Ovis aries: one gene and its partners. The protein of the gene in region 2 interacts with the protein of the main gene of each other region in a biochemical or structural test. Links are inferred from orthologs where the notes say so. Each region holds a gene or a part of one and is shown on either strand. Other genes may lie near its edges. The genes, in order: WWTR1, SHANK1, CACNA1D and YAP1.

What was found.
Region 1: the proteins of SHANK1 (region 2) and WWTR1 interact in a test that uses a peptide from one of them, tested with the Homo sapiens proteins (2 studies listed by IntAct, with this or other methods). The link is inferred for Ovis aries from reciprocal best matches to the Homo sapiens genes SHANK1 and WWTR1.
Region 3: the proteins of SHANK1 (region 2) and CACNA1D interact in a biophysical measurement, tested with the Homo sapiens proteins (2 studies listed by IntAct, with this or other methods). The link is inferred for Ovis aries from reciprocal best matches to the Homo sapiens genes SHANK1 and CACNA1D.
Region 4: the proteins of SHANK1 (region 2) and YAP1 interact in a test that uses a peptide from one of them, tested with the Homo sapiens proteins (2 studies listed by IntAct, with this or other methods). The link is inferred for Ovis aries from reciprocal best matches to the Homo sapiens genes SHANK1 and YAP1.

The regions. Positions count from the first base shown.
Region 1 is NC_056054.1:239,214,508-239,219,358, reverse strand, and holds the start of WWTR1 (WW domain-containing transcription regulator protein 1), read right to left. Parts: upstream 3,464-4,851; 5' UTR 3,209-3,463; intron 2,806-3,208; 5' UTR 2,800-2,805; coding exon 2,369-2,799; intron 1-2,368. UniProt on the Homo sapiens protein: Transcriptional coactivator which acts as a downstream regulatory target in the Hippo signaling pathway that plays a pivotal role in organ size control and tumor suppression by restricting proliferation and promoting apoptosis.
Region 2 is NC_056067.1:56,534,069-56,538,862, forward strand, and holds the start of SHANK1 (SH3 and multiple ankyrin repeat domains protein 1), read right to left. Parts: upstream 3,289-4,794; 5' UTR 3,173-3,288; intron 1,555-3,172; exon of another isoform or gene 1,502-1,554; intron 1-1,501. UniProt on the Homo sapiens protein: Seems to be an adapter protein in the postsynaptic density (PSD) of excitatory synapses that interconnects receptors of the postsynaptic membrane including NMDA-type and metabotropic glutamate receptors via complexes with GKAP/PSD-95 and Homer, respectively, and the actin-based cytoskeleton.
Region 3 is NC_056072.1:47,263,565-47,267,911, forward strand, and holds part of CACNA1D (voltage-dependent L-type calcium channel subunit alpha-1D), read right to left. Parts: intron 4,270-4,347; coding exon 4,100-4,269; intron 1,237-4,099; coding exon 1,115-1,236; intron 331-1,114; coding exon 10-330; intron 1-9. UniProt on the Homo sapiens protein: Voltage-sensitive calcium channels (VSCC) mediate the entry of calcium ions into excitable cells and are also involved in a variety of calcium-dependent processes, including muscle contraction, hormone or neurotransmitter release, gene expression, cell motility, cell division and cell death.
Region 4 is NC_056068.1:6,217,374-6,221,720, forward strand, and holds part of YAP1 (transcriptional coactivator YAP1), read right to left. Parts: intron 2,057-4,347; coding exon 1,863-2,056; intron 1-1,862. UniProt on the Homo sapiens protein: Transcriptional regulator with dual roles as a coactivator and corepressor. Critical downstream regulatory target in the Hippo signaling pathway, crucial for organ size control and tumor suppression by restricting proliferation and promoting apoptosis.

The DNA of each region.
Region 1 (4,851 bases), on a different chromosome or scaffold from region 2:
TTTAGATGCTAAGTTGTGCCCAAGTCTTTTGCGACCCTATGAGCTGTCCATGGGATTTTCCAGGCAAGAATACGGGAGTGGGTTGCCATTTCCTCCTCCAGGGGATCTTTCCCACCCAGGAATTAAACCCATGGTTCCTGCCTCATCTCCTGGATTGCAGGTGGGTTCTTCATCATTGAACCACCCGGGAAGCCAAGGAGTGGCTTTAGTTGGGGGGATTAGGCAGATGTAGCAGATTAATTTTTTCTAAACCCAAGGCTAACTTCCACTTTTCACAAACATATTTTTGAGCTACTCCAATCATTCAAAATGTGTATAAAAGAGAATCCTTTTGTTTTTCTTTTGTTTAGGGATCTTTTCCCCTAGCTTTCCTCAGACATTAGGCAAGACTAGCTCTTATTTCATATTTTTAGCAACCAGTTATACCGATCACATATCATATATATTTGTGTATGTATATATATAAACATAGTTCAAAAATCATTGGGGACCAAAACTATTTTCCAAAATTATTGTAAAATATTGGGTCTTTTTCTATTTGTATGTACTACTAAGTCCATTTCTACAAAAGTCACAATAACATATTCAAAACTGCATTTACCTAAGTAAGCAACACAACATGCTGCTTCAGACCTTTATATAGTATATAAGGGCTGGAGCTAATGGTAAAGAACTTGCCTGCCAATTCAGGAGACACAAGAGATGCCAGTTCAGTCCCTGGGTTGAGAAGATCCCCTGAAGGAGGTCAAGGCAACCCACTCCCATATTCTTGCCTGGAGATTCCCATGGACAGAGGACTCTGGCAGGCTGCAGTCCATAGGGTTGCAAAGAGTCAGAAATGACTTTGCACATACACACAGTATATAAACTAATGCCATCCTTCAGAACAATATCATCACACTTAGAAAAATGTCATGCGATTACATAACATACTTGAATTCCACCAACTATTTAGATCAAAGCACTCAGTATGTGTCCACACTAGCACTCATTCACCAGAAGACCAGTTGTGGACTAGAATGATCAGCAACTCTGTTTCCGACAAGGGCTTCTCAGCGCTACATCAACCCCACCAGCAACAAAGAACTCCTTCTTGCACAAGATGTCAACAGCTTTGGGATGGAGAAGAAATAACTGGCTACCAGTATGAGTCAAATGGTTGGCTATTATAAGCCTTCATCCATCACTGTATTTGTTATCAGGTCCTCTCATAGCAATCAAAGTATCAAATATTATCTTATTAAAATTGCACATAACTTCTAAACTAAGGCTACTCTATTTTATACATACATATATATATATATATATATATATATATATATATATATGTAGGCTTTAAAATAAAGTCTAAGGCAAGTTCTCAGAAGAGGAGTTTTCCACCACGGCAGTCAACAGTCAGCCAGTGCAGGCAATCCTGAACCAAGTGCTCCAGTTGGCAGGACTTCTATCCAGGCCACTGATGGCCTGACCCCCCATGACCTCACTGGTTATGTTTCAAGTTCTAGCTTGGCTTCTCCTCCAGAATATAATTATTTTAGGGTACCACAATTGAAGCAACCTTCTTTATGCCTGTGGAGTCTAATTCCACTCGAATGTAAAATTCACTACATGGAAAAGTCAGAACAACCTGTCGGGAAATACGACAAAGCAGCTCCCAATCGATGATATTCTAGGTTACCGAGTGCAACACAATAGAACTCCTGACCCAATTTCCACACGATTGATTTGTCCAGCCCACGGCTACTTCACCACGCAGTTCCTAATTACATCACTGGGGGGTGCTGTATGGTTATTACGTCACCGAACGGGGAGCTGTAAGGCCTAAGTCAGTGTTCCCTTTTCCAATGGAGAGACAGCAGACCACCTACAGTAACAAAAGTTCCTCTCTCCTCCCCAAGCCTCAGTTCTGTTCTAGAACTATCTTGATGTCACATCGCAGTGCACCAGGCTAGGAGTTACCTGACTTGGAGTGGGCCGGAAAGGGAGTAGCGTTTGGGTCCAGAAGTCAAAGTACTCCAGTATCAGTACTCCAGACTCAACGCATCTATGTGTTTCACGAGAATTCTGCCCAAGTGCTTTTTTCTTCTACCTCGAAGAATTTTCATGTCCTGAAAATCTCGCAACTTCCCGGATCCTGGATGAACTCTACCAGACCCAGCTTCTGATCCCTTACAATTCCAACACCCTAAAACTAACTCCCACTTCCAGTCTCCCAGATTTCTGGAAAAAAAGCCGTTCAACGACACACATTATCACGCAGGCACACACACGCACGTACGCACGCACCGTCACGAACACGCACAAGAACAAGCGCGCGCGGCCTGGGTATTGTGACTCTGTGTGCCCCCCTTGCTCCAGGCTGACTTACTTGAGGAAGTACCTCTGACCAGTGGCCGTAAAGGTCATCTCCCAGCCCGGGGGCAGCGGTAGCTCGTCGGTCACGTCGTAGGACTGCTGACGGAGATGCGCGTGCTGCTGCGCGGGGCTGACCGCAGCGCCCGCGCCCGTGCCCAGCTGCAGGGACGCGGGCGACGAGTGCGAGCGGACGTGCTGGGCGCCGCCGGCCAGTCGGGGCCCGGGGTGGCCGCCGGACGAGTCGGTGCTCGACTGGCGCGAGTGCGAGCCGGAGTCAGGCTCCTTGAAGAACGATTCGGGCAGGATCTTCTTCCGCCACGAGCTGGGCTTGGGGTTCATCACCGAGTTGAAGAGAGCTTCGAGGTCCGTGTCTAGGTCTTGAGTGACGTGGATCACTTGCTGCCCGGGTGGCGGGAGCGGAGGGGGCGCCGAAGCCGGATTCATCTTCTGCTAGGAGAAAGGAGGTCAGATTAGCTTCTTATTGAAGGTCTGATAATTGAAGAGGAGAACAGAGAGAAGAGACAGATAGGTGTCCGCCTCGGGATCCCAGACACCCAGAACTTGAGACTAGCGGGGTGGGGGAGGGGTCCCTCCTGGCCTCCAGAATTATGCAACTTTCTTGAAGCCAAGAAGTTACCAGGAAAGGGGGAGGGGGTGTCTGCTGGGAGTTAACTGCACTGGAGACGCTAATGAAACTGCTGGTGTCTAAGGACAGGTCGAAATTTTCCAGAGCAGGCAGCGCCCTCAAAGTCTCAACCCGAGCCAACTCCAAGACGTCTCCACTCGGGAAGCCCGAGGAGCCGGGCGCCCCGGCGTGGTGCGGGGTGAACGGGCGCGCGCCAGCGGGCACTACCTGGACGCGCAGCGAATCCGAGTCTGGGCGTGCGGTGGCCGCCGTCCCGCCCGAACTCGCTGTTGGGCCTGGGTCGCTCGGCTGCGTCCCGAGCTTGCAGGGCTGGAGCTGGGGCCCGGCTGGCAAATCCCGACCCTACTCGGTGTCTGGCAGCCGAGAGGCTTCGGCTCTCACATCCCCCGAACTGGCCTCAGGCGCTCGCGCTCCGCGGAGAAGCGGAGAAGCAGACAGCGCGGCCGCCGCGGATCCCGGACTGTCCCATAAACAAAGTTTGGAGCAAACTCCCACTCCCAGGAAAGAGGCGGGCCCGAAAGTTAAGCTGTTGAATTATGCATGACCTCCAAGTCCGGAGCCAGCCTACCCTCTCTCGTCCCTCCCCTTCCTCCTCCTCCTCCTTCCACCCTGGCACCAGAAAACCCTGGGCGTGCTGGGTACTCTGCAGGGTAAGAGGAGATGGGTGCCCCCCGCCCACTCCTCCTGGACTGGCTGACCTCTCTCGCGGAACCCTGGATCTGCATTCCTTTGAGTTTACCACGGACTTGGGGCGGGATCAAAGGGAAAGTGGCCCGAGCCTGTTTAATCAAGGACTTGTGGACCGAAACCAGGCTGGGGGCGGCGGAAGACACGCGAGTGAGGGACCCAAACAGAGGAAGGGCGGGTCCTGGGTGCCGCGCCTTCTCTTCGTGCCGGGTACCGAGGCCGGGAGCCAGGAGCGCGGCATTGATCAGTGATTCTGCCTAAGGGCGGGCCCGGGTACGCTCCGACGCGAGGAGACACCAGCGAGGCCAGCCTTTCCACGGGAGGCTGCATGTGACCATATTTGGTCTGGCGAGGAGGCATCTCGGCTGTTTGGCTTTCAATTGTCTGCTCGTGCGCAGACAGTGCCCAGAAAGTGCCTCTGTCGCTAGGGATGCGACTTCGCCAACTAGTTCACTGTAAACAAACCAACCTTGAAACCATTTATCAGTTCTTCTCTCCTCTCCAGGGTAACTCGGGTCACCAGGGGTTGAGAAGAAACCTGGGCAAATCTTCGGTGCTGGAAAAGGACAGCAAGGGGCCCCCCTCTCTCGCGACATCCTTGCGGGTCGTGGGAGGATTGGAATGTCCCTGACGCCCTCCAGAGAGCCTGGAGCCTGGATAGAACCGGAACAGGTGGCAGGGAGTAGAGAGGGTGCGCCAGTGACCCGGAAAAAACCACCCACCCTCCCACCGACTGGATCTGGGCGTGGGCTGGAGACCCCCTACTTCTAGGTCTGGCCTGGCAAGACAGCTGCGGGAAGTAGGAGGCGGCCTGGCCCTCCGAAGCAGCTCAGTTCCTTCTGTTCCTTGTCCCCTCCCGTCGAGGGGAAGGGGAGAGTGGCTTCGAGATAAATCCGGCTTCAGAAAACCCCTACCCCGCCCCACCCTACTGGATTCAAACATAAGCTTATGAAATAAGTCACATGAGACAATATATGTAAAGCACTTTGCAGACATACCTGCCTACATGCCTTTTTGTTAAATGAAAGTGCAAGTATTGTGCCTCCACATTTTTATAAGAGTAGATCAAAATTAAAATCTGGAGTTGCTGTGAAGGAGAAAAATGTATGGGAAAGACAAGGCCATCCTGTAGTTTTGCCATGGAAAGGGTAGGAGTATTCAGA
Region 2 (4,794 bases):
CCCCCCTGAATTGGTCTTATAAGGGTGAGTCCAGATGGGGCCCTTCTTCCGAGTTTTCTCCCCCCCTCCCACCCCAGCACCGGAAACCAGAATGTCTGGTCTGGTCCCTCCCCCCAACACCAGGCCCGGCTCCTGCACGTTGCCATGGAGATGGGAAGCAGTGGAGGGTACTGCTGACTTTGGGGGAGTGGGGATGGGCTGGGGGGGGGTTGGGGAGGGAAGACAAAATGTGTGCGGGGGGAGGAGGAGAGTTTCAAGAACTGTGGGCGAGCCAGCCTCCAGCCATGGGCTGGTCACCCCCTCCCCTAAGCGTGGCCACGGCCCCCTCCCCTTCTGGGTACCCAGCAGAGCCTCCCCTACTTGGCCCTGGCGGAGACCCCCTGGCCTTCTCCTACCCGGCGACTCCACTCCCACCTCCAGACCTGGGGCTGGCAGCCACTCCCCCTCTGCTGACCCCGGCTGACCCCCTCCCCCAGCCTCCACGGACTCCTGAAAGCAAAGCTCGCCGGGTCCCCCGGCGCGTGCGGCTGCCCCCAACCCCCAGGACCAGCTCGGGCCCCTCCCCCTCAGGCCCCGAGGGAGGGAGCGGGCACACTCCGCCGGGGCGGCATGAATCAAACGCTCCGCGGCTAAGAATAGCTGGCACGCAGCTGGTACCGAGACGGGCTGAGGAATCGGCGAGGGGGGGGGGAAGAAAGGGGGGAGAGGGGGTGCCCTGGGAGGCTGCGGGGGTACGGCGGGGGGAGGCTGCCGGCGTGGCCGAGAGCCGGCCCGGGAGAATGAATGGAGGCGGAGAGAGGAGGGGAGAGGCGGGCAGAGGGAGCCCGGGCTGGGGCCGAGAAACTGGTGGGGGAGAGCCCGGGTCCGCGGAGAGGGGGCGGAGGCCCCCAGGAGCAGGACTCGGGGGCGGGAGCCGAGGGGGCGCGCCGGCCGGTGGGGAAGGAAGCGGGGACCGGGTTGGGATGCGGGGAGCTCGTGAAAGGGTGGGAGGGGATTGGACGAGTCTGGAAGGAGAAGCCGAAACCACAGGGGGTCGAAGGGGGCGGCGGAGGCCGAGGCTCAGATCCCCGCTGGAGGGTGTGGGCGCCGGAATGACCTCGGCGAGGGGCCTCGAGGGGTGGGGCCGCAGGAGGGGTCCAGGAGGCCCAGGTGGGCCGCGATGGGCGAGGCGGGGGAGTGGCCGGGCCGGGCTGGCCGGGAGGCGGGTACCGCGACCGAACCCTCGGCCCCGGAGCGCGGGGAGGCGGGTTCGGGCAGGGGGCTACGGGGCCGCATGGCCCCAGCAAGTCCGCGATCCGGGACGGGGCACGGGGGACCCGGGCGTAACCCAATTGGCGTCGCCCGGGGCAACGCTCCCCTCCTCACCCCCGCCCCCCACCGCACACCCGGGCCGGGAGCCCGGCGCTCGGCCAAGGACGTCCAGGGCGCCCCCGCCCCCGCCCGCGGCCCCGGGCCCGCGCTTCCCCCCCCAACCCAGACCCCCGGTTTTCGGCCCCCTTACCTGCCTGGCGGGGCTGCTGAGTCCCGGTCGGCGGCGCCCGCGGCCCCTCCCCCTCCCCCACCCCCCCCCCCCCCGGAGACGGGGGACCCTCAGGCCATGCCCCACCGCCCCGGAGGGCGAGCGGGCCCGGGGAGGGGGCGGGCGGGGGCCGGGGGGGCGGGCGGGGGGGCCGCGGACCTCACCCCCCCCGCGGGCCGGGCCTGGCCATCCGCAGAGCGCCCCCCCTTGCGCCGCGGCCGCCGCGCCCCTCCTAGCTAGCCCGCCCCCGGCTCGGTCCGGCCGGCTCCGGGCGCCGCGTCTTCGCCGGCTCCTCTCCTCGGCCTCAGGCCGCCGCCGCCGCCGCCGCCGCCGCCGCCGCCGCCCGCTCCGCGCCTCCTCTGCCTCCCGGCTCGCTCTCTCGCTCTCGCTGTCTCTCCCTCACCCGGACTCTCCCTCTCTCTCCCTCCCTCTCTCCCTCCCTCCGCCCTCTCCCCTCCCTCCGGGAGCCGGCGGAGGAGACATCGCCCCTCCCAGCGCCCCCAAACCTCGCCCATCCCCCCCCGCCGGCTCCGCCCCCTCCCCTGCCCTCCCCCACCGCTCCTCTCCGCCGCCAGATCCCCGAACCCTGACTCCACCCCTGCTTGCCCCAGTACCCCGGCGATGGGGCTCCGCCCCCCTAAGGGTACCTCTCCCCGCACCCCCCCAGGACCGCCCCTTCCCAGGGCGCCCCCACCACCTCTACACACAGTAGGGTGCAATTAAGTATTCGTTGCTAGACTCCACACCCCCAAACTGGATGGTGAGAGCTATAGATTTCTGTCCTGTCCGCCCAGCACACACACACCTTCCCGCAAGGCACAGGTGCAGCGAGTCGCTCCCCAGCCCTGCCCCTGCAGACGTCTCCACATACACATCTTCTCCAGGGCGTGCGGGCTCTCACAGGATACATTACCATGAGCACAGCCAGCTACATCATGTACATATCACACCCGTGTGTCGGAGCATGCACACGGCAGAGCACACGCGTCTACCCACCCCACACACGGGCACGCAGCCCGCTGTGCTTGCTCAGAGCTCCAGCTCACACGCAACCCTGAAACAGAGACACAGAACCACAGGGAGACGTGTGCTTTGTCTCCATCACATTCACCCACCGTGCCCTGGCCGGCCATCACACAGGTGTGCACACGCCCATCGAGAGGCACGACCCTGCACCACCGCTTCCTTCCCGATAATTATCTCTGACATTTCTTGAGCACTTCCTGTGTGCCCGGCTCTGTGCTGGGTTTACTCCTCAACTTTGCACACCGTAGTCCTCCGGACTAGGGACTTGCACCATCCCCATTTATGACGAGAGGGGGAAACTGAGGCCCAGAGAGGTTAAGCAATTTGCCCACGGTCACCCAGCCAGCAAGAGGTGGTGGCCAGAATCAGAGACAGATGGCCTGGCTCAAAGTCCCCCTACTGTGTGCTGGGGTTCACTACTGGCCACTCCATAGTGATATCTCCACTGCATATCTTTCTTTGTCACACGCGATCCCCCCAGCCATCTCTGCATGGCGTGTGGGACACACCTGCAGAGACCGGGCTGATCGCATAGGGCAGCGGTGATTGCGTTGCCACAGCCCAGGCCCCTACCCTTCTCCCAGCTCCAACAGCTCCCCTGGGGGCCATCAGCTGGAACCCACGCACCTGCGGAGGGCAGTTCCAGGCAGCCTCTGGGTGCGTGTCCAGCTGCAGGCTCTGGGGTGCCACAGGATGAGCGGGAACAGGTGCCAGCCCAGCTGCCCCAGGAGACCCAGTTCTGGATTCACCCCTATCAGCCCAGGTGGTGAGCAGCTGGGCCTGGGGAGAAAACAGCTGCTTGTGTGTCGGCACCAGCAGTGAGAGGGGTTATGTACCCTTTCTATGGTTTATGAGGCTTTTCTCGGCCGGGACATCAGCTCTCGGTGAGGGGTCCCCAGGCTCCTCATGGGTGCACAAGAGAGGCCCGAGCTCTGAGGCAGTGGGCAGCCTGCCCAAGGTCACACTGCCCTTTGCTTTCTTGGAAAATGGAAAAGTCTGGCTGTGTTGATTTCCAAGGTCCCAGCCTGGGGCTCCCGGCAGCTAAGGGCAGATGCCCTGCTCGTGCCAGGAGCCAGAAGCTTCTGCTTGCTGCCGCTGCTGCGCTGGTAACCTCCAGCAGGCCCAGCTGTCCCCTCTCTGAGCTTCGGTGTCCCCCCTGGAAGAGTGGGCCCTGCGATCCTGGCACTGCCCGCCTGGCTGAAGCTGGGGAAGCCCTACATGACTCACGGGTCTGGCATGGAGTAGGCATGGCCAGCCTCCTGCTGCTCCTGCCTCTGCAGCCTCCCCACCACTGCCCTCATCACCTCTACCCTGGTCGCCAGGCACCCCCACCCCACCCCCAGGGCCACAGGAAACCAGAGTTTCCACTTAAACACATTCATGGAGGGTTCAGTCTTTTGGCTGAGCTGTGACCCCGCTGCCAGGGAAGGCTCCTTTCCTTGTTCAATTGACTGAGTACCTACTATGTGCTGGGTTGGCCCTGTCCTAGCTTCAAGGATACAGCCATGAACAGGGATGCCTGCCTTCGTTGGCGACAGACAGACACCAAACAGGTAAACAAGCCAGCAAGACAAGGCTGGTCTTGATTCAGCCAAAAAGATAAAAGGGGGTGTTTGAATAAACTATCCGAGGAAGGCCTCTCTGAGCTGAGACCTCAGTGATGAGAAGGAGCTGGGGAGAAGAGCCTTCTAGAAGGAGGAAAAGGCTGGTGCAAAAGCTCTGAAGCGGGAAGGAGCTTAGCATTCAGGAAGTAGCAAAGAGATCAGTGTGGCTGGAGCTTGGAGGGGGGCAGTGAAGGGAGTGGGGGTGATGAGTTTGCAGAGGTGCAAAGGACCCACCCTTCCCTGCCCACCCCCAGACTGGGCAGGCCAGGCCTGTGCTGAGGCCAAGGTTTGGCTTCACTCCCTCACATGATGGGAAGCTGGGGGGGAGCAGGGGAGTGGGGAGTGATGTGATCTGATTTACGGTTTGGAAGCATTGCTCTGGCTGCGGCAGGCTGCGTGGATTGGAGGGGCTCTGGAGGAAGGAGGAGGAGAGGCAGGAGGAGAGGACTGCAGTGGTCCAGGCGGGAGATGAAGTAGCTCTCAACGCTCAGAGCTCTCTGTGCACCCAGCCCAGCAGCTGCTTACTCCACCTCCTGGAGAAAGCTTCTCGGACCCCACCCAATCTCCACCCTCTCCTCTGCCCCCACCCCTCACCCCGATGGAGCTGTCTGTGGGGTCTGTGAACAGCTGGAATTCCCCGTGTCA
Region 3 (4,347 bases), on a different chromosome or scaffold from region 2:
CACACTCACTGCCTCCACCAGGCTGTCGGCACTCCTCTGCTTGTCGCTGTTCTTGCTGTGGAAGCTGCTGGGGACGGTCAGGCTGGCTGGTGTGAACGTCCGATAGGAGACGCTGGGCTCGTCCGTGTACCATGAGCTGCGGTGCAGGGACGGGAGGCTGCCGTTGACCTGGTCTGGGGCCTCTGGCCGCTCGACCTGGATCAGCGGGGTATAGCACGGCGTCCAGTCCCGATACGACGGCGTGGCCGGGGGGGTGGCCCACGACCGGGTGGAGTGGCTGGGCGAGTACTTCTGGGCTTTACTGGAATCTAGGCCGGCGACTGCCATGATCTGAGGAGATAGAGGAAGCGGGGTGAGGTCCTCAGGGGTCCCAGCCTCGGGTGCCCTCAGAACAGGCCAGGCTCAAGGCCCTGGTTTATAGGGGCTTCCAAAGGATACAGCACTCTGAGTAATTCAATGAACTGGCTGTAAAAACTTGGCTGTCTAGCAGACTGTGCTTTCTTTTGCCCCCAGTCTATCTCTTGATCCCCAGGTGGTAATCAGTTATTCGTGAAATTGCTTAGAAGCATGAAGACGACACACAAGTCGTGGAGTACAAACACGCCACCTGAATGACTCTGGGTTCGAATAGGGAAGTGCACTTAGGGCAAGCTGACGGCACCTAGCGCTCAGAGAAATGGGTTGGTTCTCTCTCGGGCAACTCGTCTGCAGCTGGCACTCTGCTTAGAAGCACTACCGGGTACAAGCCTGCTTCTTCCACCTACAGCGGTGCCACGGCAGGCCTGCCCTGCATCCTTCTCTGCAAGGGGCACAGGGGACAGTGAGGCCAGGTCTGTGGCCAAGTCAGAAGCCAGGACCACCCAAGGGAAGCACACACAAGCCCACAGGGACCCCCATGCCCACTTAGTGTGTGGCATGTGATGCCTGGGGCCTTCCCAAAGTTTGTCCTCCATCCACAACAGAGTAGGACACAGCAATTAATGTAAAAAGTGGAAGGCGAAAAGGGACAAGGTTGGCAGAAAGACCAGAACAGAAACTCTGAGGCGGCAGCTAGTGTTTATGTGCTCAGGACACTGGGGTCCCTTCCCTGGAGCTGCCCGGGGGGCCGGCTCACCTGTTGCTGCATCAGGTGCAGAGGCAGGGCCGTGCGGGGCGGGAAGGCGGGCGACGGCGGGACCTCCTCCTGGCTGCTCTGCCGGCGCAGGCACTCAAAGTTGAAGGAGGACCTGCGCGGGGCTGAGAAGTGAAGCACACGTGTGACGCCGGAACCAGCGGTCAGGCCCTGGGCTCTGGGGGTCGGGGCAGCCCACCTGGATGTCCAGCAGCGGGGGCCCAGGAGGAAGCGAGCAAGGCATCCAGAGAAAAGCACCAGGCATGGTGGCGGGAGTGGGGGGTTGTCTCAGAAGTTCAGGAAGAGAAAGCAGCCCAACTGAGGGGCGTTTCCAAAAACAGCAAGTTGATGTCTCGGCCCCCACACAGCTGTTCTCTCAGGAGGAGCCAGAGAGCCATGCTCTGACTCGAGGCCCCTGGCCCTGCACGTGGCAGGGACGCAGCGTCTCAGGTCAAATACATGACCTCACTGGAGAACCCACAGGTGCCTGCCGACTGCCTGTGCTCCTCTTCCCGAGCATCCCTGGGGCCGGAGTGTCACGTGGGTGCTCCCAGGCTGTGACCACCCTTCTGTCTGCTACCTGCCCTAACAGCTCAGCCAGATAACAGGCAGATCCCCTGTGGGGCAAAGACCCAGCTTCCCTAGCCGGGAAGACAGAACACACAGGAAAGGACACCTTGAACTACAAAGAATGTGGCTGCTTGTCCTTAATAGACCACAAACAGGCTTCCCAGGTGGTGCACTGGTAAAGAATCTGCCTGCCGATGCAGGAGACGCAGGAGACACGGGTTTGATCCCTGGGTCAGGAAGATCCCCTGGAGAAGGAAATGGGAACCCACTCCAGTGTTCTTGCCTGGGAAATCCCATGGACAGAGGAGCCTGGTGGGCTACAGGCCATTGGGTCGCACAGAGTCAGACATGCCTGAGCACCTATGCATTTCCTGTTAACAGCCACTCCAAACAGAGGCTTCTAGACAGGCTGAGTGATGACAAGGTGATCCAGGCTCGAGGCCCCCCAGGGTGCCAGGCCCAGGAGATCAGTCTAAATTCTGGGCCCCTGTGCACAGGCCAGAGGGCTCCCCAGGACACCTCTTGTTACTGGTGGCCTGCAAGGCAGCATTGAGTCACCTTGACATTCCTTTCTTGAACTCTGCTTTCTAAGCTCACAGGGCATTTATCCTACCCTAGCACAACTCCACACACCTCTGACTCTTACACTGGAAAACTGCAGGGACCAGCCTGGGGAGCCCCTGTGGGCATCCTGGGAGGCACGTGAAGCAGCAGAGCTCTCTTGGTGGAGGTCTGGCTCCAAAAGTGCATGGATACCAGAGATAGCCCATGCCAGCCACTGCTCAACCAGGCGGGAAACCCTACAGACAACCAGCCTGTCTCGCAGGCCTGTTGTACACCATGCAGCCTTGCTGAGCCTCCTGGTCTAGCTGCTTCTGGGGAACATGGACACCTGCCATCCACTCCAGATGGCCTTCCTCCCACAGGCTGCCCGGGGCCAAACTCAAGTGTTCTAAGAGAAGGACAGGGTTCCCAGGTTAGCACCACCTCTAGCTTCCTCCCGGGTCAGGTGGTGGGACCAGAGGCTCAAGCCAAGAAAGGAAAACTACCACCTCCACCATTCAGAGAGCACCTTTCAGTTTTGAAAAGGGATCCACCTATGCCTGTCATCTTATTTGCTCTGCACAACCAGCCCTAATGCAGAGAGCAACCTCTCTGGAGCTGAGCACATAGGAATTCCATTGGTCTCCCTGCCCCAGATCTGAATACATGGGCAGGAGAGCAAATACAATGCATTTTACCTATTCACACTTATAAATAAAGAGGGCAGCCAGCTGCCCACTCAGGGTCCTTGACTCACGGACGATCATGACCACCCAAGGGAGAAAAGGCGGTCACAGGAGGGCATTGGCACTCATGGGGCCCGGGGCTCAGCCCCACCTGCACAGGCGCCATCCAGGACTGACAGAGCCCAGCACTGCTCTGTTCAGCAGCTTGTGTTTGGGGTTGTGAAATTAAATATTAACCATGGATATGGGTCTGACTGCACTTGCCCACAGGACACTGACAGCTGGGGAGAGACAGGCCTGGGCACCACCCAGCTGAACTTACTATGCACAGAGATGGCAGACTCAGAGCCGATGTGTCTCATTTATTTCTGGTGACTGATTAGAGTCCTACCCCAAAATACACCTCATTCCTCAGCAAAGCCATAAGTGGATATCCCTTATCCATCAGCAAAATGTCCACGTGTCCAAAATCAAGCTGCCCAGCCAGGAGATGGCAGGAGCTGCTGCTTCATCTCTTTCCCCAGCCCACGGTCCTCACTGGGGGTAACCCAGCTCTCTTGGCAGTATTGGTGATGCCACATGTACCCAAAAACCAGCTGGCCCCTGCCCCTTCTCTGCAGGACAGGATTCCCCGGCCCTGGGATGGGAGTGCCTACCCTAGCGGTCACCACCAAGGCCCCAGCAGGGGCACTGGCAGACCAAGGCAAAGGTAGGGGAGAAGAGGGCAGTGAGGTGAGACAGGAGGAGGCATGGGCACCACAAACCCTCACGTGCTCCTCGGAGCCCTGGGCCTTGGTAAGAGGCTTGGGCTCAAGTCCACTCAGCAGGCAGGCCCATCTGGGGAGTGAGCCTGTCGACACCATGGTGCAGGACTTGCCTACCCATCAGGGCAGACCCCAAGCTCAAAGGCAATGATGATGCGCCCAGAAAGCCCCGCATCAAGTGCTACAAACTGTGCAACCATGGAGCCCACACTGCCTTCCCTGTTCTCAGCACTGGAGCACTTCCAGCCCTATCATGTGGCACGTGGATGAGGAAGAAAAGAAAACCAACAGCCTCTCCATCCAGGGGGCTGGTGTTGAGGACTGAAGGCCCCTGACCATGTCCAGCCCACCCCCCGGGCTGGGGCAGGCGGACAGACACACTACCCTCTGCGAGCCTGGATCCCAAACAAAAAATCTGGCCTCACTTGTAGGGGTAGGAGGTAGTAGGCGTCGCCTCGGAGACCTCCGGGAATCGTAGCCAACGGGCGAGTCGTCGTCCTCTGAGAAGCTTTGGGGGTGATGGTAGCCTCGAGGCCGCTCAAAGTCCAAGCTGCTGCCCGGGTACCGGTTATAGTAGCCGCAGCCGTAGCTTTGCCTGGTGGCCAAGAAGGCCAGGAGAGAGAGCAGGGGCACGTGAGAGCCCAGTTAACAAGCCCACGTCCACAGTCCACTG
Region 4 (4,347 bases), on a different chromosome or scaffold from region 2:
GATAAAGTTTTATTTAAATGAAAAATATCTTTCCTTTATAGTAATATGTTAAAAGTCTGTCAGAGGTATAGTAAACTTGTTAATGTGCTTCCTTTTTCCACTTTCTTAAAGGCAGATGAGGAAATACTTCTTTCAAGACCACTTCATGACACCATATCCTGGCATTCTCCTTCTTCTTTTAGGGCCAACCACACCAGATTATAGTGGCAGGTTACTGACAGCTCAGTTTACAAGTATGGCGGCCTGGAGTCCTCATGGCTCAGTTTAATTCTTGGGTACCAGTTCTTCAAACCTCAAATCAGAGTTCAATCACTGTATCAAGTTCATCTATTTCCATTAACACTCAAGTGACACTATCAAAATATAACCCTCATGAAGAAAACAGTACCTTGTTCAAATGCCTACATCCTGGCAACAAAAATGTAGCCTATAATGGTATTTTTAATGCCTGTTCTTAGTATGCTATGATTTAGGGCGGGGCAGTAGTAGAGGCACTTGTATTCCATGTTTGTAAATAAAGAGAATGTCTGGGGCGGGGGTGAGGGCAAGTATAAGAACTGGTTAGCTATTTACATCCAGAAAAGAGAACTAGAGAAATGGGAAAAGGAGATTTTATTTTCACTTTGTACACTTTCAAAACCACATTGTGTTTTTATTACCCAAAATATTTATATAAAAATTTTAAAATATACTAAGATCATACCCCCAAAATCTAAACTTTAGCTTTTGTCACTCTGAAATTTGAGATGATATGGCACAGAAAAACCAGTATTTCTGAAAGAAAACTGACAGAAATGGCCCTAAAGGTTTCCAGCTCTCTAATGTTAGAATCTGCCCTTCCCAACGTGAAAAAACAACCACAAGCAGGTAATTTTAAGGCACTTGGGGATCTTCTAAACTTGGGATAGCCTGTGTTACATTTTAAATAAAACACATCTTAGATTCAGCAATAGTGAAACACAGCTGTCATTTGAGAGGTATCATACTGGTATATTATCATACTGGTATATTCTCCTAGACAAATAATTTGTTTAAAGTAAAAGATGTTTCTCCCCAAGTGATGTTCCAGAGTTTCTTCCTTAGCGAAATCTTCAGATATTAAATAGTCTGCAATTCCCTGTACAGACATACCTCGTTTTATTGCACTTCACAGACACTGCATTTTTTTTTTTAAAAACACATCAAACGTTTGTGGCAACCCTGCGACTAGCAAGTCTATCAGAGCCATTTTTCTAAAAGCAATTGCTCACTTCACGCCTTGGTGTCATATTTTGGTAATTCTCACAATATTTTGGCCTTTTTCATTATTATTTTATTTATAACAGTGATCTGTGATGTTACAGCAAAAAGATGACTCACTGGAAGCTCAGATGATGGCTAGCATTTTTTCAGCAGTTAAGTACTTTTAAAAAATGTTCACTGTTAAGACATAACGCTGTTACACACTTAAGACTATAGTATGGTATAAACATTAACGTCTATATGCACCAGCAAACCCCCGAATTCATGTGATTCACTTTCCTGTAATACTCGCTTTCCTGTGGTGGTCTGGGACTGATGGGCAATATCTCCGAGGTATGCCTGTATATTTGAGGAAAAGCACCCTTGCTTCCTTTGCCTTCTGCTTGACTGCAGTGAACATGGCCCAAACGCCTCTGTGTGACACAGGTTTACAAGTGACAGCCCACGTGCTCAGAGGCCAGCAGAGAAACTAAGACAGGGACAGAGCTGGACAGAGTGTTTCTGTGTCACTCTAGTTTTGGAGAAACAACATTCCTCTGTAACCAACAAATGCCAAAATGAAACACACCCAGCTTCACGTAGGAAAACAAAGCCCCAAGAGTGGAAGGCTGGTCTCTAACCTGGGGCCTCACCTGCCGAAGCAGTTCTTGCTGCTTCAGTCGCAGTCTTTCTTTCTCCATCTGCAACTGCTGCAGCCGCATCTGTTGCTGCTGGTTGGAACTGCCACCACCCAGGACTCCTCCCTGTGGGCTCTGGGGGGCCAGCGGGGGTGGCTGTTTCACTGGAGCACTTTGACTGATTCTCTGGTTCATGGCTGCAAGGAAACAGAAGATCTGTTCTAAAAAACTAGCCAAGAAAAAGGATTTTTTGTTATTCACAAGCATGATGGGGACATTCAACATAGCCTCTTCTGTAGTAAGATCAGAAATAACCTAAAAACCCACCAATAGTACAAAGGGTACATCAGTTTCTTATTATTACAGACATCCTTGTCATTAGTGTAGTATGCGGCCTTAAGATGAAAGAAACAAGCAGCAGCTCTAACAGGCAATGGCGCGGAGAAGTCTAAGGCACACAAAGGTAAAGGCACAGTACAGAACAGGACAGGCAGAGGAGGGCTGTACTGATATATTACATGCATATCCAGAGAATCTCAATCGAAGGACAGATAAGAAGCAATCAACACCTGCTGGCTCTGTAGCTGGGGAACTGGGTGACTAAAGAACTGACGTTCAAGAGAGACATTTTTTGTAACTTTTCAAGTTTGAATAATGTGAATGCACCGCTTATTATAAAATATATATCCAATTAAAAATAAATCCCTCAAACTAACTAAGAGAAAGCAATCTAAGCAGTAAAGTTCATTATTAATCTTTAAATACAATGCTAACTAACAAATCAAGTAGGTTAGATGCATGCTCCAAATAAAGCCTACATCTGGACGGCACAGATTGGTCTCATTCAACACCACTGTACCCCCCACACAGCCAAGGTAGTCAGTTACTTTTTGAGTTGAACCTGTAATACACCATTTGACAATTAGATTGGATTCTTATAATAGTGAATTTCTGTCACTGATAAAACACTGATCAAACTATGGATTGTGTTAGCCTCAGTAAGCAGATGCAAGTTTTATTACGTGAAAATGGCAATAAGAATGATACATTACCTTTTCAGACATCTATTCAACTTTTTAAGGTGACATTTCAGGTCACTGTTTAATACATATGACACTTGAAGAAATGACACTAATCTTTTACAACCTTTTGCAGAGAACAGCAAAGAAGGAAACTTCACGCTTTTGTGACCAGCATATCCCTAATACCTTACGAAGACACTAAAACAAAGAAAAATCATAGATGGCTCTCTCTCATCAACCTTGCTACCAAAATCTGAAATGATTCACTGGTGGTGCTCATGACTTACTAGACCCTGGCCACAAAGCAAACTCCTTGTGATGATCTTCACATGTCCTCGGCTGGACCACAGGTACAGCTCTTGGAGGCCACCTGAACAAACCTCTTCCAGGGCACTGCCTTGGGACTCTGTCTACTGACATTTCTCACCTGTCATTTTTTATTTACAAATTTATATCTTCTCTTCCCAGGTGGCACCAGTGGTAAAGAACCCTCCTGTCAATGCAGGAGACCTAAGAGACATGGGTTCAGTCCCTGGGTCAGGAAGATGCCCTGGAGGAGGGAATGGCAACCCACTCCAGTGTTCTTGTCTGGAGAATCCCGTGGACAGAAGCCTGGCGGGCTACAGCCCACAGGGTCGCAAGCAGCTGGACACGACTGAAGCGACTGAGCACACACATCTTCTCTCAAACACGTGCCTCAGGAGCGGGGACAGAATCCCAACCGCACATATATTCTTAGTGCCTAGACCAGCAACTTGGCATAAAATCTGTGTGGGGAAACAACACTGAAATGATTCTAAGCCCTTTCATTATGCACTGAGGCAGAAATTTAACTTTTTAAAAGATATGGCAATACAGAAATCCTACCAATTTCCCCATAGACTACCAACTCTTCTATGTGGCAGTATAACATTGATTTGAAACCAAGGATATTAGAAAAAAGGAAAATTACAGACCAATCTTCTCCGAGAATGCCTTAGTTCAATTCAACCTACTGAGATATTAATATAAAGTCACAACATTTTTGTTTTTACTTTCCCCCTCTATTGTTCCTGTATTTCTTCTAACTTTTAAAAACTTTGGCCATGGCAGATGGCATGGGGGATCTTAGTTCAATGCCCTGACCAGAGATTGAACCCACGCCTCTTGCTTTGGAAGCAGGGGGTCATAGCCACTGGACTGCCAGGGCTCTTTTCCCAACTTCTTCAGTTGAACTCACTTAGTCAAGTCTTTTCTTAGAATACTTAAGTCAACAAATTTACCTTTAAGGACTGCTTTTCTGGCATGCCACACATTTGAAATCGTACATATAATTCAGGACTGTTCTATTTCAAATATCTGCAATTTCTATTTTGATTTCCATTTAACTCATGAGTTATTTAGGAGTACAGTTTTATACTCTTAAGCATGTATTTAAAATTTTGAAAAATAACTGCCACAGAGAAGCAGAAAAAATATATATTATG